3 linked regions of the Oryctolagus cuniculus genome follow. The protein of the gene in region 3 purifies or fractionates together with the protein of the main gene of each other region. This does not show direct contact. Links are inferred from orthologs where the notes say so. Each region holds a gene or a part of one and is shown on either strand. Other genes may lie near its edges.

Region 1 (4,185 bases), on a different chromosome or scaffold from region 3:
AAGTAATTTGGGAAACCAAAATTTAATGATTCTAACAAATTTACTTGTAGCTACACAATTTTATATGCAACATTTCATCCCTTAAGATTACAGAATTTTGCTTTCTAAACTAAATTACATGTCAACAGTTCTAACCAGCAGGGCTAACAGCCCTCCATAGCTTAAAACAAACAGGTGGGAAAAAATCCCTAACCCATGGAGTTTTAAAATTCCAGCCAATTCTAATTAGAAAAACCTGGAACACATTTGACAGGTCCAGTGTTGACAAGAAGACACAGGTTTCTCATTAAACTTTGTTTTAATGGGTCTCAAAATTCTGTGACAGATTTTTGGTCAAGTTGTTTCCATTAAAAAGTACTGATTTTAAAAACTAATAACTTAAAACTGCCACGCACAAAAAAAATGGTCCACAAAACATTCTCCTTTCCTTCTGAAGGTTTTACGATGCATTGTTATCATTAACCAGTCTTTTACTATTAAACTTAAATGGCCAATTGAGACAAACAGTTCTGAGACCGTTCTTCCACCACTGATTAAGACTGGGGTGGCAGGTATTAGGGGTAATATTCATTTAGCCTTCTGAGCTTTCTGGGCAGACTTGGTGACCTTGCCAGCTCCAGCAGCCTTCTTGTCCACTGCTTTGATCACACCCACAGCAACCGTCTGTCTCATATCACGGACAGCGAAACGACCTATTAAAACAAGTATTGAGTTGCCATGAGACACATAGTTCACAGAAGCAATTGTTAATCTTTAGTACAACTTGTAATAGCAATAAAAAAAAAAATCCTTACCCAGAGGAGGATAGTCAGAGAAGCTCTCAACACACATGGGCTTGCCGGGAACCATATCAACAATGGCAGCATCACCAGATTTCAAGAATTTAGGGCCATCTTCCAACTTCTTTCCAGAACGACGATCAATCTTTTCCTTCAGCTCAGCAAACTTGCAAGCAATGTGAGCTGTGTGACAATCCAGTACAGGGGCATACCCAGCACTGATCTGACCTGGATGGTTCAGGATGATCACCTGGGAAAAAAAGGATATGCATTTTAGTGCTTCTCAAACTGAACTGTGGTAACAGCTAGAAATGCTAACTCCCCTGATGTGATAACACTTCATACATGCATCAGATTGCTTACCCCCTTGAGTATGCATGAACATTGTCAATTAACAGATCATTTTAAATTGTTACCTGAGCAGTGAAGCCAGCTGCTTCCATTGGTGGGTCATTTTTGCTGTCACCAGCAACGTTGCCACGACGAACATCTTTGACAGACACGTTCTTGACATTGAAGCCCACATTGTCCCCAGGAAGAGCTTCACTCAAAGCTTCATGGTGCATTTCGACGGACTTGACTTCAGTTGTGACATTGACTGGAGCAAAAGTTACCACCATGCCAGGTTTGAGAACACCAGTCTCCACTCGGCCCACAGGGACAGTGCCAATACCTAAAATATTTGCAGATTACCAAAGAGTTATTGAGGGCCAAAGATTTTTCACCTGTTCCAATTCAAGTTATATTCTGATGTTACATTAATACCCAACTTACCACCAATTTTGTAGACATCCTGTAGGGGCAGACGCAGAGGCTTGTCAGTTGGTCTAGTTGGTGGAAGGATGCAGTCCAGGGCTTCAAGCAGTGTGGTTCCACTGGCATTGCCATCTTTGCGGGTGACTTTCCATCCCTTGAACCACGGCATCTGAAACACAAGAGAACAATTAATTCTATCACATCACCACTTCCAGCTCTTTAACAAGCACTGTCTTGAAAGTCACTTACATTAGCACTTGGCTCCAGCATGTTGTCACCGTTCCAACCAGAAATTGGCACAAATGCTACTGTGTCAGGGTTGTAGCCAATTTTCTTAATGTAGGTGCTGACTTCCTTAACGATTTCCTCGTATCTCTTCTGGCTGTAGGGTGGCTCAGTGGAATCCATCTTGTTAACACCAACAATTAGCTGTTTCACACCCAGCGTGTAAGCCAGAAGGGCATGCTCACGGGTCTGCCCGTTCTTGGAGATACCAGCTTCAAATTCCCCGACACCAGCAGCAACAATCAGGACGGCACAGTCAGCCTTTAAAGAAATCAAGGACACACACTGTGAACGAAGGTACCTCAAACCTAAGGAGGAACTCACCCACCCCCCGCCTAGAAAACCTTATGTCTACAGTTACTAGTTGCACAAACCTGAGATGTGCCTGTAATCATGTTTTTGATGAAGTCTCTGTGTCCTGGGGCATCAATGATAGTCACGTAATACTTGCTGGTCTCAAATTTCCACAGGGAGATGTCGATGGTGATACCACGCTCACGCTCGGCTTTCAGTTTATCCAAGACCCAGGCATACTTGAAGGAGCCCTTTCCCATCTGTAATTACACAGAGCACTCAGACGGTTACTAAGACACAGCAAAGCTTGAAACCCCATGCCCCCCTCCGCTTGGGAATGCATTCCGCTTCCCAAACTGCTGGGCCTAGGTGGCTCTCCAGTCGATATGGTGGCTCGTGATTTTAACATTCACATTCAGACAACTAATCACTGTTGTCTTTTATAGTCATAGCACTCTCATTTTAGTGGCCAGACTTAATGTAATTCAGCATCTTTCCCTTGCGATACTGGACATACCTCGGCAGCCTCCTTCTCAAATTTTTCAATGGTTCTTTTGTCGATGCCACCACATTTGTAGATCAGATGGCCAGTGGTGGTGGACTTGCCCGAATCTACGTGGCCAATGACGACGATGTTGATGTGAGTCTTTTCCTTTCCCATTTTGGCTTTGATTTAGCGGTGGTTTTCACGACACCTAAAATGGAAAAAGGGGGGGAACCTTTGAACCACTGTCCGAGGGTTGAGACTAAGCCACGTTCAAAACTCAAAAGGGCAAATTCCAAGGAGAATTACATCCAATGCCAAGCTGGCCTAACTCTTCAGTCTCCACCCACCGAGTGAGTTAACTCCATCGCCTAAAAAATCTCCGCCCCCAGCCGAGCCAAGCCGAACTCCAAAGGCCACACGAAGAAGCCAGGTGCCCAGACGGCGCCCTGTACCCCGTGGGGTCGCAGGAAGCGGCGGCCGAAGAGGGGAAGGCTCTTTTCCTTTGTGTGGGTGACTCACCCGCCCGCTCTCCCGGGCCACCGCGTCCTCCATTTTGAGCTCCCTGCAGCGGGGACGGCGAGCGGCCATCTTTTTCCGCGCACGCAACTGGTGCCGAGCGGGCCGGGCTCCGCCGCCCGGGGTGGGGCGGCCGCGGCCCCACCGAGCCGCCCGCCCCACGACCCTCGCCTCTCCCCTCGCCCGGCCTGGGCAGGCGCGGCGCCGTCGGGCCTCGCCCAGGCCGCGCCCGACATGTGCGCCCGGACGGGCGGGCCCCGCCGCTCGCTGTCCCTACGCCGCGCGGCCGCCCTGCCACCCCCTCGGGCCGGACGACGAACGCGCGGGGTAGCCCGCCCGGCCTCGGCGGGCCCATCTCGACGAACAAAAAAAGAGCCGTACCGATCCACGTAAAAACTCAAAGGGCCGAAGGGCCCCGCGAGCGAGGCTAGCCAGGCCGGCGCGAAGGCGAGAGGACTCGCACGCGGCGGCCACGCCAGGCCTCAACTCCAGCACGAGGAAGAGGCTCCTGGAAAACGCGCAAACCTCCAACCCTCCCGCCCCGTTACAGCCCGAAATTCGGAGCCAGGAACCTCGTCAAGAGGCTCAGTGGCATGGCAGTGTCCCCGAGCACGCGAGGGCCCCAGCCCGCTCAAGGCCAGACCCGCGGAAGCCACACCCGACACTCACCTGTGTTCTGGCGGCAAACCCGTTGCGAAAAAGAACGTCCAGGGCGACTACGGCACTTATATACGGTTCTCCCCCACCCTCGGGAAGAGGGCGGAGTCAGCACACGACACCGCTTTCCCAGTTTGCCCCGCGCCACCTCCACTAGGCACCGGTTCAATCGCCGTCCCCTCCCCCAACGCCTCGGGGACCGTGGGCGATGTGCGCTCCGACCACTGACGAGCACACAGCGCCTCGCGCATGCTCGCCTCGGTCCCGGTGACGACGAGCGCGAGGGGTAGGGGGCGGGGACGCGGCGATCTCTCGGTTCTAGGGTAACGGGAGTTTAGCGACGGTCCCTGGGCTTCCCCGAGACTGAGGCGAGTCCTCTTTTGTATGAATTACTCTGGGCTCTGGCGGCGA
Region 2 (3,940 bases), on a different chromosome or scaffold from region 3:
CTCCTCTGCATCCCTGGCCATGGGGTCAGGGGTCCCTGGACTTGCGGTCTGCAAACACAGGGGCAGCCCCCAGGAGGGCCTGCCACTGTCCGGGGGCCCCACCCGACTGTCCTCCCCGCGGCCAGCCACGGGCATCACCCCAGTAGCAGGTGCAGGGGCCCCCACCTGGTGCCGCCCCTGGCCAGTCCCAGGGGACCCCGCCGGCCACGGGAACAGGCAGAGGGCTGTTGGCATCCACCTCTCCTCCCCCCAGACCCTGCAGACCAAGGCCTGAGCCGGGGGGGGGGGGGGCGGACAGCAGGGGAGCAAAGCCTGGGGACGTGATGAGGACAGGGGCTGCGAGAGGCCCCCACCGTGACTCGCACCACATCCACGCTGCCTGCCCCCCGCCTGGAGCCTCGGGAGCTGTCCAACCTTAGGGACTCTCCCTCCCAGCAGGAGGCCCTCTGAAATCAGCAAGCAAGGGCTTGGCTCAGCCAGGGGAGGCCGTGGGCTGGGGGCTGGCTCCCTTAGGACCCCGGGCTGTGGCTGTTTCCCCAAAGCCCACTCTGCCCCACACCTGTCACCGATGTGAGTGGGTGCTGGGAGCGGCCAGGAGCAGGGGACAGAGGCTCCCCCCGGGGCCTCACGGGCCTGCTGTGGGCAGGGTCCCACCCAGAGGGGCTGCACAGGCTCATGAGGCCAGACCTGGAGCGCCCCCCCCCCCCGCCCCACTGGGACACAGACCAGGACTTGGGCTTGCTTCAGGCCTGCTCGCCTGCCCGTCCCTCCTCACCTGCAGACTCCTGCCCTGCTGTGCCCGCTCATCCGGGCCTCCATCTGCCCAGAGGCCGCGACCCCCCCTCCCCCGCCCCGCCGCGGTGTCAGCCAGGGTCTCTGTCTATGTCCCGGTACCCATCCCCCGCCGCCTCGCCGCATCCCGCGCTCTCCCTCCATCGCTGGTGCTCGCTCCCTCCCCCCGCCTCCCGCGCGCCCGCTCCCGCGCGCCCCTGGGCTCGCCCCGGCTGCGCCCGCCCGCGCGCGCCGCATTGCCGTACTGCAGGGCGCGGTGCATTGCGCCCGCACCGTCAATAGGTGGACCCCTCCCGGAGACATAAAACCGCCGGCGCCGGCGCCGCCAGTCCCTCTGGCTGAGACCTCGGCTCCGGGTAAGGACGTTCGGCTTCCGGGGCCCGCCCCAGGCCCGGCTTTTCGCCGAGGGACCTCTCCCCGGAGACCGGCCCGGGGCGCAGAGCGGAGCCGCTCTGTGCGCCTGGCGACGCCCCGCCGCTCGGCCGGGGCTGTGGCCGACCCCCGTGCCGGGGTCGGTCCCTGCGGGCAGGCGGGTGGGGAGGGGACCGAGGCGCTCTGGTGTGCAAGGCGGCGGCTCCGGGGGGCTACGCCGCCCAGCCGCCGTGACCTTGGGCCGCCCGGGCCCTGCGGGTTTGGGGAGGGTTGCAGCGAGCTGTCGGGGGTGGGGGCGGTCTGGCCTGTGCCGGTGCGGGGCAGTCTGGGGAGGACAAGAAGGGAGCTTTTCCAGGTCCCTGGCCGGTGTTCCCACCCCCAGGGTGCCGCAGCCTCTGTCTTCCCCTCCCCCAGTCTCCTGGCCTCTGGGGTCAGCAGTGGTGTGGAGGGATTCTCCTTGACCTCCAGGATGGGCAGGCGCTGAACCCCAGATTCTGGACCAGAGGGAAGAGGGGAGCACAGGGTGCCCGGCCGCTGAGCTGGCTGGCGGGAGCCTCCCCCCCAGCTGGAGCAGGGACCCCCTCCGGCCCTGCTGTCTGTCCCCTGGGGGCTGTCTGATGTCTGGGGGAGTCCCTAGCCAGGCACCACATGGGGCCTGCGTCCCCCCTGCCAGCCCGCGGGCAGGGACAGCGGAAGATGGCGCACTGACCGCCTCTCCAGCAGGTGGGGGCGGGGCGCTTGTCCCTGGCCCTGCGGCGGCTGGGGGGCCGGCAGGGTGACTCATCACCCGGCTGCACTGGTCCTGGGCTCCCCGGCACGGTGCCCCTTGTCTTCCAGGTGGGGGCTTTGCAAGGAGCAGGGGCGGGGGCTGCAGCAGACGGAGGCAGGGGCGGGGGCGGGGGCTCAGCTGGGGCAGGCCCAGGTGGGGGCTGGGGGCTCCTCCCTGAGCCACCCCCTCCCCAGCAGAGCCCCCGGCAGAATGGGCAAGGAGAAGACGCACATCAACATCGTGGTCATCGGCCATGTGGACTCGGGCAAGTCCACCACCACCGGCCACCTCATCTACAAGTGCGGGGGCATCGACAAGAGGACCATCGAGAAGTTTGAAAAGGAGGCGGCCGAGGTGAGCCTGGGCCCCAGCTGCCCCCCAGAGGCCCGCCCCCGCGTGGGGCTGAGGCAGCGCCCCCTGAGGACCCAGGGAGGGGGCAGGGCGGCCTCAGCTGCCAGGTCCCTGTTGGGGAGGGGCGGGCCTGCCCTGCAGGGGTCCACAGAGGGTTCCAGAGCCCTCTCCTTGCCCCCAGGGCAGAGGCTGGGGCTGGAGGTGGCACTGCCCTCACTTGTCCCGGGGCCTGGCCAGGCGCAGCTGCTATTAATAGCGGGACGACGGGCAGGCGGCCCAGCGCCGCTCTCTCCTACTGACCTGCTAGGGCCGCGTGTCCAGGAGGACGGCCCTCAGCTGACCTTGCCTCTTTCCTGGCTGAGACCCGTGGGTGGGCCGTGGCCCCGGCCCCCACCCCCAGCTCTGGGAGACACTGTGTGCGTGCGGCAGAGCCTGGGCTGGGCCCCTGGGAGGGGGGGAAGGGGTGCTCTGAGCCGCAGCCGGTGCCGGCTCAGCCCTGGGTGGGCAGCCCTCCTGCCCGAGCCCGGCCCGGCTGGACAGCACCTGCACCTCAAGCTGCAGCCCTGGCCTAGGCTGTGGGGGTCTCCCAGGTGCTTGCCAGCTGCGCCCGGCCCAGCTCCCCGGGGAGGCGAGAAGAGGAGGCGGAGCCTCACAGGCAGTGGAAAGAGCTGGAAATTTCCCAAGATTTTTTTCTGTTTATAAATAACAGAGGGGCTATTGATTTGGCAGCCGACACCCAGTGCGGTGCCTCTGGGTGACCCAGAGTCTGAGGGTGTCACCGACCTCAGATGAGGGGCCCCCCACCCTGGGAGTGGATTCATCCTGACGGCCTCCTTCGGGGAAGACAGCTCCCGGGCCCTCACGCCACCTGCTGGTGGACATGTGAACTGCTGCAGGGAGGACTGGGGACCCCTGCTCTCAGGGGCTGCTCCCCGGTCCAGGGCAGCCCGGGCACTGCGCAGGCTCCACCCTGGGCTGGGTGTGACCGCTGGGCCCTGGGTCCTGCCTGCAGATGGGGAAAGGCTCCTTCAAGTACGCCTGGGTGCTGGACAAGCTGAAGGCCGAGCGGGAGCGCGGCATCACCATCGACATCTCCCTCTGGAAGTTCGAGACCACCAAGTACTACATCACCATCATCGACGCGCCCGGCCACCGCGACTTCATCAAGAACATGATCACGGGCACGTCCCAGGTGGGCAGGGCGGGGGCGTGGAGGGGGCACCTCCCCTGCTCCCCCTCTCGGCCCCAGCCAGCTGCGGGGGAACAGGTGGGGACACGGGATGACCCCCCAACAGCTGTAGAGGCCAAGACAGGAACAGCAAGGTGTGGGTGACAGCAGTGGGCCCAGGCAGGCAGAGAGCCGGGCAGCACCCAGGAGGCCACACACTCGGCCCTGCAGCGAGGGACAGGGCCACAGGCGCTGATGGTGGGGCGGGGCCCCAGGGCTGGGGGCCAGCGACTGCCCACCCCCGCTCCGCTCCCGCGGGCTGGGGCTCACGGTGCCGGGCCTGCCCCAGGCGGACTGCGCGGTGCTCATCGTGGCCGCGGGCGTGGGCGAGTTTGAGGCCGGCATCTCCAAGAACGGGCAGACGCGGGAGCACGCGCTGCTGGCCTACACGCTGGGCGTGAAGCAGCTCATCGTGGGCGTCAACAAGA
Region 3 (4,049 bases):
CAGGCTAGAAACTGACCCCCTCCTGACCTTCATCGTGTCTGCCTCCCAAGCTGACCAGACTCTCACTGTGACCCCTCTCCGGGATTCCCAGGGCCTGTTCCCTGACCTCTATCACTTCTTACAAGTTTTCCTCCCTCAAGCACTGCGAAATCTCCTCAAGTGAACATGGGCCATAGAGGGCAATAAAGCTGCTAGTTTAATACAAATACTCTCCAGTTTTCTCTGATTTTCTCCCGGTACTTTCCGCCTCCTTCTTGGGCTCTCCCACACCTTAATACAGCCCTCTCAGATCTGCCTTGTCTGACCCCGATCACCCTGGTCTTCCCACTTAGCACTGCCTGCAGGCACCTGGCAGAGTTCCCGAATGACCGTGCTTGCGGGCTTTGCAGCAAGTCTGCCTCCAGTGAGGCTGCTGCCCCGGGTTTACACGTGGTGTCAAAGCCGGAGATGTGGGTTCAGACCTCTTCCATTCTCGTTCTTCAACTGAGTAATAGATTTTCACACCGGAACATGGGTAAAAAGCAACCCAGCAGAATGCAGGCTCCGAAGCGGGTGGCAGGGCCCATGGCTGGGTTCTCCTGCGCCCCTGAACTGCTGCGGGTCAGAGGTCTGGTGTCCTTGTCGCAGTACCAGCATGCGGAGTTGCAAACTAGTGTCATGTGAGCGAACCTCACTCGGGCAGATGGTTTCAGACCCGAGCCCCTGTTACGTGTACATTCCTCTCTCAAGTCCAGAGCGGGAACAAAAGGAACCTCGCCAGCTCCCGCCTCCGCGCAGCTCTGGCTTCTCGGCCCCGTGAGCTTCGCGGGCGATGCGAGGGGCTGGCAGAACCTACCGTCAGGCCGCTTGCCGCAGGAAGGCGGGAGGGGTGCGCCTGCGGGAGCCGGCGCCGCACTGGGTGGGCCGCTGTGCCACGTAGCCGCGAAGGGGCGGCCCTGCTAGCCGGTTCTCACAGTTTCCCCGCCCCCGCCTCCCCCCCCCCGCCTTCTACCTCCACCTCGGGGCTCTGATTGGTCGGTTGCAGCAGAAGGGCCGGCCAGTCACAAGCCCAGCGCGCCGGCTGCGCGGCCCCTCAGGCCCCACCCCCTCCAACGCGGCTGGATACCGAACTGTCGTGCGTGTGCCTTCTATGCCGTCCTCGCTTTCCGGCTGCTGTTTCTCCACGGCTCTCCCCTTACCCCCTCCCTTTTCTCCCTGGCGGCTTACTTTGCGGCAGCGCTGAGAGCCCAACCCCCTTTCTCTGCGGAATCACCATGGCGGCCGGGGTAAGTTTGCCGGGTCTAGTGAGCCGGGTCACCTTATCCGCCGCCATCCTCTGTCTGAGTAGGGCCAGTCGGCGCCGGAGGCGTTCTGGAGCTGAGTGGGGGACCGATCCGGAGTTTACAGACCGTACTGTAGGAGAACGGAGGTCCTAGGGCCCGGAAGGGAACTGAGGCTGGGGCTCTCCGAGGCCAGAGGTGGAAGAGTCTGGGGTAGAGGAGCAATGAGATGCTGGATCTGGGCCGTCTGGAGCCTGACAGGGGGTTCAGCTTCATTGCTTCGTTGAGACGCGGGATCCGGGCAGGTTGGCGGAACTTTCGCGGCCGTTTTGTGGGGCAGCAGCGGGGGCAGAGCGAAGAGGAGGGTCTTTGTGGAGAGGCTCGGCTGGCATGGTTAGGGGTTGCCGCTCAGGGAGGCTTGGGGGAGCGAGGCATCTCTGGACGGTGAGGCCAGACCGGGTGGATGGATCCCTCTGGCCGGGCTCTCCGAGATGGCAGAAGCTGGGAACTCGCTGCGGGACGGGACGGGACGGGAGGGAAGGCGTGCGCGACTCGGCAAGAAAGGCTTTTTAGGGCAAGGAGTCGATTTAGGAAGAGGGCATGCTATTGGTTGTCTCGATGGCTATCCTGAGGGGAACTTGAAACGTCCGGATGTGTGTGCCTTGCAGAGGAGGTTGGTGGCTCTGAGGCAGTGATGAGCTCAGCGGTGGAGTAGGCAGGCACTGGGGAACCGTCAATGAATGAAACGCAGCCCCCGGGAAGGCAGGGGTGTAGGTTTGTAGGCAGACGGAGTCTCAGGGAGGCAGTGCTGGGCTTCTTGGAGATAAATATGAGGGGAAGGAGAATGAGTGCTTCCCGAGATGTCCTTAGGGAAGGTCAGTTTGTCCCCGAGCTTTATTTAGCCGCTGATGCGTAGTTCTGTGCTTGGTGCTTCGGAGGACTCTGATTACATGTGGCAAGCACTAGGGAACCTGGTTTCCCCGAGGGAGTAAAAGTGAGCGGAACCGATTGTGATGGCTGAGGAAAGCCATGCTGGCATATGGCGCGCAGGCTGGGACCCCTCCTCACATTAATCTTTTCCCCTTTTCTTACATAGACCCTGTACACATACCCTGAAAACTGGAGGGCCTTTAAGGCCCTCATCGCTGCTCAGTACAGCGGGGCTCAGGTCCGCGTGCTCTCCGCACCCCCCCACTTCCACTTCGGCCAGACCAACCGAACCCCTGAATTTCTCCGCAAATTCCCTGCTGGCAAGGTGAGTAAGGAAGTGGTGAGGGGCTTTTGGACCTGGGACCCTTAGGAGCCCTGATTCCGTCACTCTGGGGATGGGCCTTATCTTTAAAAGACAGCTTCTCATGTTATTTTCTTTCACATTTCAGTGGTTAAGAACACTTTCTTAGATAATTGTAGTTGTGAAAAATAATAGCTCCTCAGTGACTTTATAAAACTGACAGGCATGCTTTATATTTCTGAGAAAGAGAATGAGTTTTGGCCAACTATTTCAGTGTGAGTATATAGATTATATATTGTGAGCAAGGTTTTTAATCCAAGGGGCTTACAGAGATAGGGAAATTACTTCACTAAGAGTGGAGGGATCAGGTGTATATGCGTAGGCCAGATACAGTGAGTGATACAGCAAACATGTATAACTTCGTTTCTAGCCCCTTCGTATTTGAAGACTTCTATACAAATACCTTATAATAACCAAATATTTTGGGTTTCTTAGTTTAGACATGGCAAATTCAGATTACAGGGGATACCAAGTTATCAAAGTCTGTTTGTTAGACGGTATTAAGAGTTTGGATTACAAGAATTGTCAGCCTTATGTAGACAGTTTTGTCCAAAGCAGTTCAGTTCCTGGGATTCGCTAATGAAATGTACTTTATGTTTTCACTGTTTTGCCCCCAGGTTCCAGCATTTGAAGGTGATGATGGATTCTGTGTGTTTGAGAGCAACGCCATTGCCTACTATGGTAATTTACAGGCACTTATGGGAATGGGAGGGTGTGGAGGTGAGGGTGTAGGAGAGGATGCGGGTGAGCTGGAGTGGACAAGGAAGAATTCTTGGGAACCTAGACTTATGTTGGCATGATCCCAAAGTTCTGCTCTTTGTGTTCTGCCTCTGCAGTGAGCAATGAGGAGCTGCGGGGAAGTACTCCAGAGGCAGCCGCCCAGGTGGTGCAGTGGGTGAGCTTTGCCGATAGTGACATAGTGCCCCCAGCCAGCACTTGGGTGTTCCCCACCTTGGGCATCATGCATCACAACAAGCAGGTGAGCCTCGGAACTTGGGGAGAAGCAGGAGCAGGGTTGGCATCAGCTTCTGCATGCTGGGGAGTAAGAAATACAATAGGCTGAGAAAGCAAAGTACCACAGATGTGTGGGCAATGAGGAAACGTAGGCTTTGGAGTATACATGTGGGACAGTGGGTGCTGTCTGGCTTTTTTTTTTTTTTTTTTTTTTTTGTCAGTGGAAGTGTTATCTGTCATAAGAGATCAGAGGAGAGATTTCTGTTGTAGGAAGTTTACCAAGTTGTAGAAGAGTTAAACCAGATGACGTCCAAGATTCCATCTACTTATCCAAAGATAAATGAGTACCATCATTACTGTGGAAATGAAGCCAGACTGCCATAAAGAAATTTAACCATGGAGAGCTTTGTGATTTGGAATCATCTTAGAATCTGACTCCATTGAAAGAGGGCTGGTCTGGGTGAGCCAGACTCAATTCAGTGAAGCAGCTTTTTTTAGTTCTGTGGAGGGTTGAGGGAAGGGAATTGCTTCCCACTGAGAAGTTT

Evidence for each region.
Region 1: the proteins of EEF1G (region 3) and EEF1A1 purify together in Homo sapiens (affinity purification with mass spectrometry; 5 studies listed by BioGRID and IntAct, counting the BioPlex papers as one, with this or other methods). This does not show direct contact. The link is inferred for Oryctolagus cuniculus from reciprocal best matches to the Homo sapiens genes EEF1G and EEF1A1.
Region 2: the proteins of EEF1G (region 3) and EEF1A2 purify together in Homo sapiens (affinity purification with mass spectrometry; 4 studies listed by BioGRID and IntAct, counting the BioPlex papers as one, with this or other methods). This does not show direct contact. The link is inferred for Oryctolagus cuniculus from reciprocal best matches to the Homo sapiens genes EEF1G and EEF1A2.

Annotation. Positions count from the first base shown.
Region 1 is NC_091436.1:99,027,733-99,031,917, reverse strand, and holds EEF1A1 (elongation factor 1-alpha 1), read right to left. Parts: upstream 2,804-4,185; 5' UTR 2,776-2,803; coding exon 2,632-2,775; intron 2,375-2,631; coding exon 2,195-2,374; intron 2,082-2,194; coding exon 1,785-2,081; intron 1,705-1,784; coding exon 1,554-1,704; intron 1,453-1,553; coding exon 1,196-1,452; intron 1,030-1,195; coding exon 795-1,029; intron 693-794; coding exon 568-692; 3' UTR 283-567; downstream 1-282. UniProt on the Homo sapiens protein: Translation elongation factor that catalyzes the GTP-dependent binding of aminoacyl-tRNA (aa-tRNA) to the A-site of ribosomes during the elongation phase of protein synthesis.
Region 2 is NC_091442.1:447,921-451,860, forward strand, and holds the start of EEF1A2 (elongation factor 1-alpha 2), read left to right. Parts: upstream 1-1,137; 5' UTR 1,138-1,148; intron 1,149-1,184; exon of another isoform or gene 1,185-1,303; intron 1,304-1,915; exon of another isoform or gene 1,916-2,001; intron 2,002-2,130; 5' UTR 2,131-2,143; coding exon 2,144-2,287; intron 2,288-3,296; coding exon 3,297-3,476; intron 3,477-3,801; coding exon 3,802-3,940. UniProt on the Homo sapiens protein: Translation elongation factor that catalyzes the GTP-dependent binding of aminoacyl-tRNA (aa-tRNA) to the A-site of ribosomes during the elongation phase of protein synthesis.
Region 3 is NC_091432.1:8,977,994-8,982,042, forward strand, and holds the start of EEF1G (elongation factor 1-gamma), read left to right. Parts: upstream 1-1,243; 5' UTR 1,244-1,253; coding exon 1,254-1,265; intron 1,266-1,912; exon of another isoform or gene 1,913-2,119; coding exon of another isoform or gene 2,120-2,134; intron 2,135-2,355; coding exon 2,356-2,514; intron 2,515-3,167; coding exon 3,168-3,231; intron 3,232-3,386; coding exon 3,387-3,529; intron 3,530-4,049. Other genes in the region: TUT1 (speckle targeted PIP5K1A-regulated poly(A) polymerase), read left to right, coding at 1-163. UniProt on the Homo sapiens protein: Probably plays a role in anchoring the complex to other cellular components.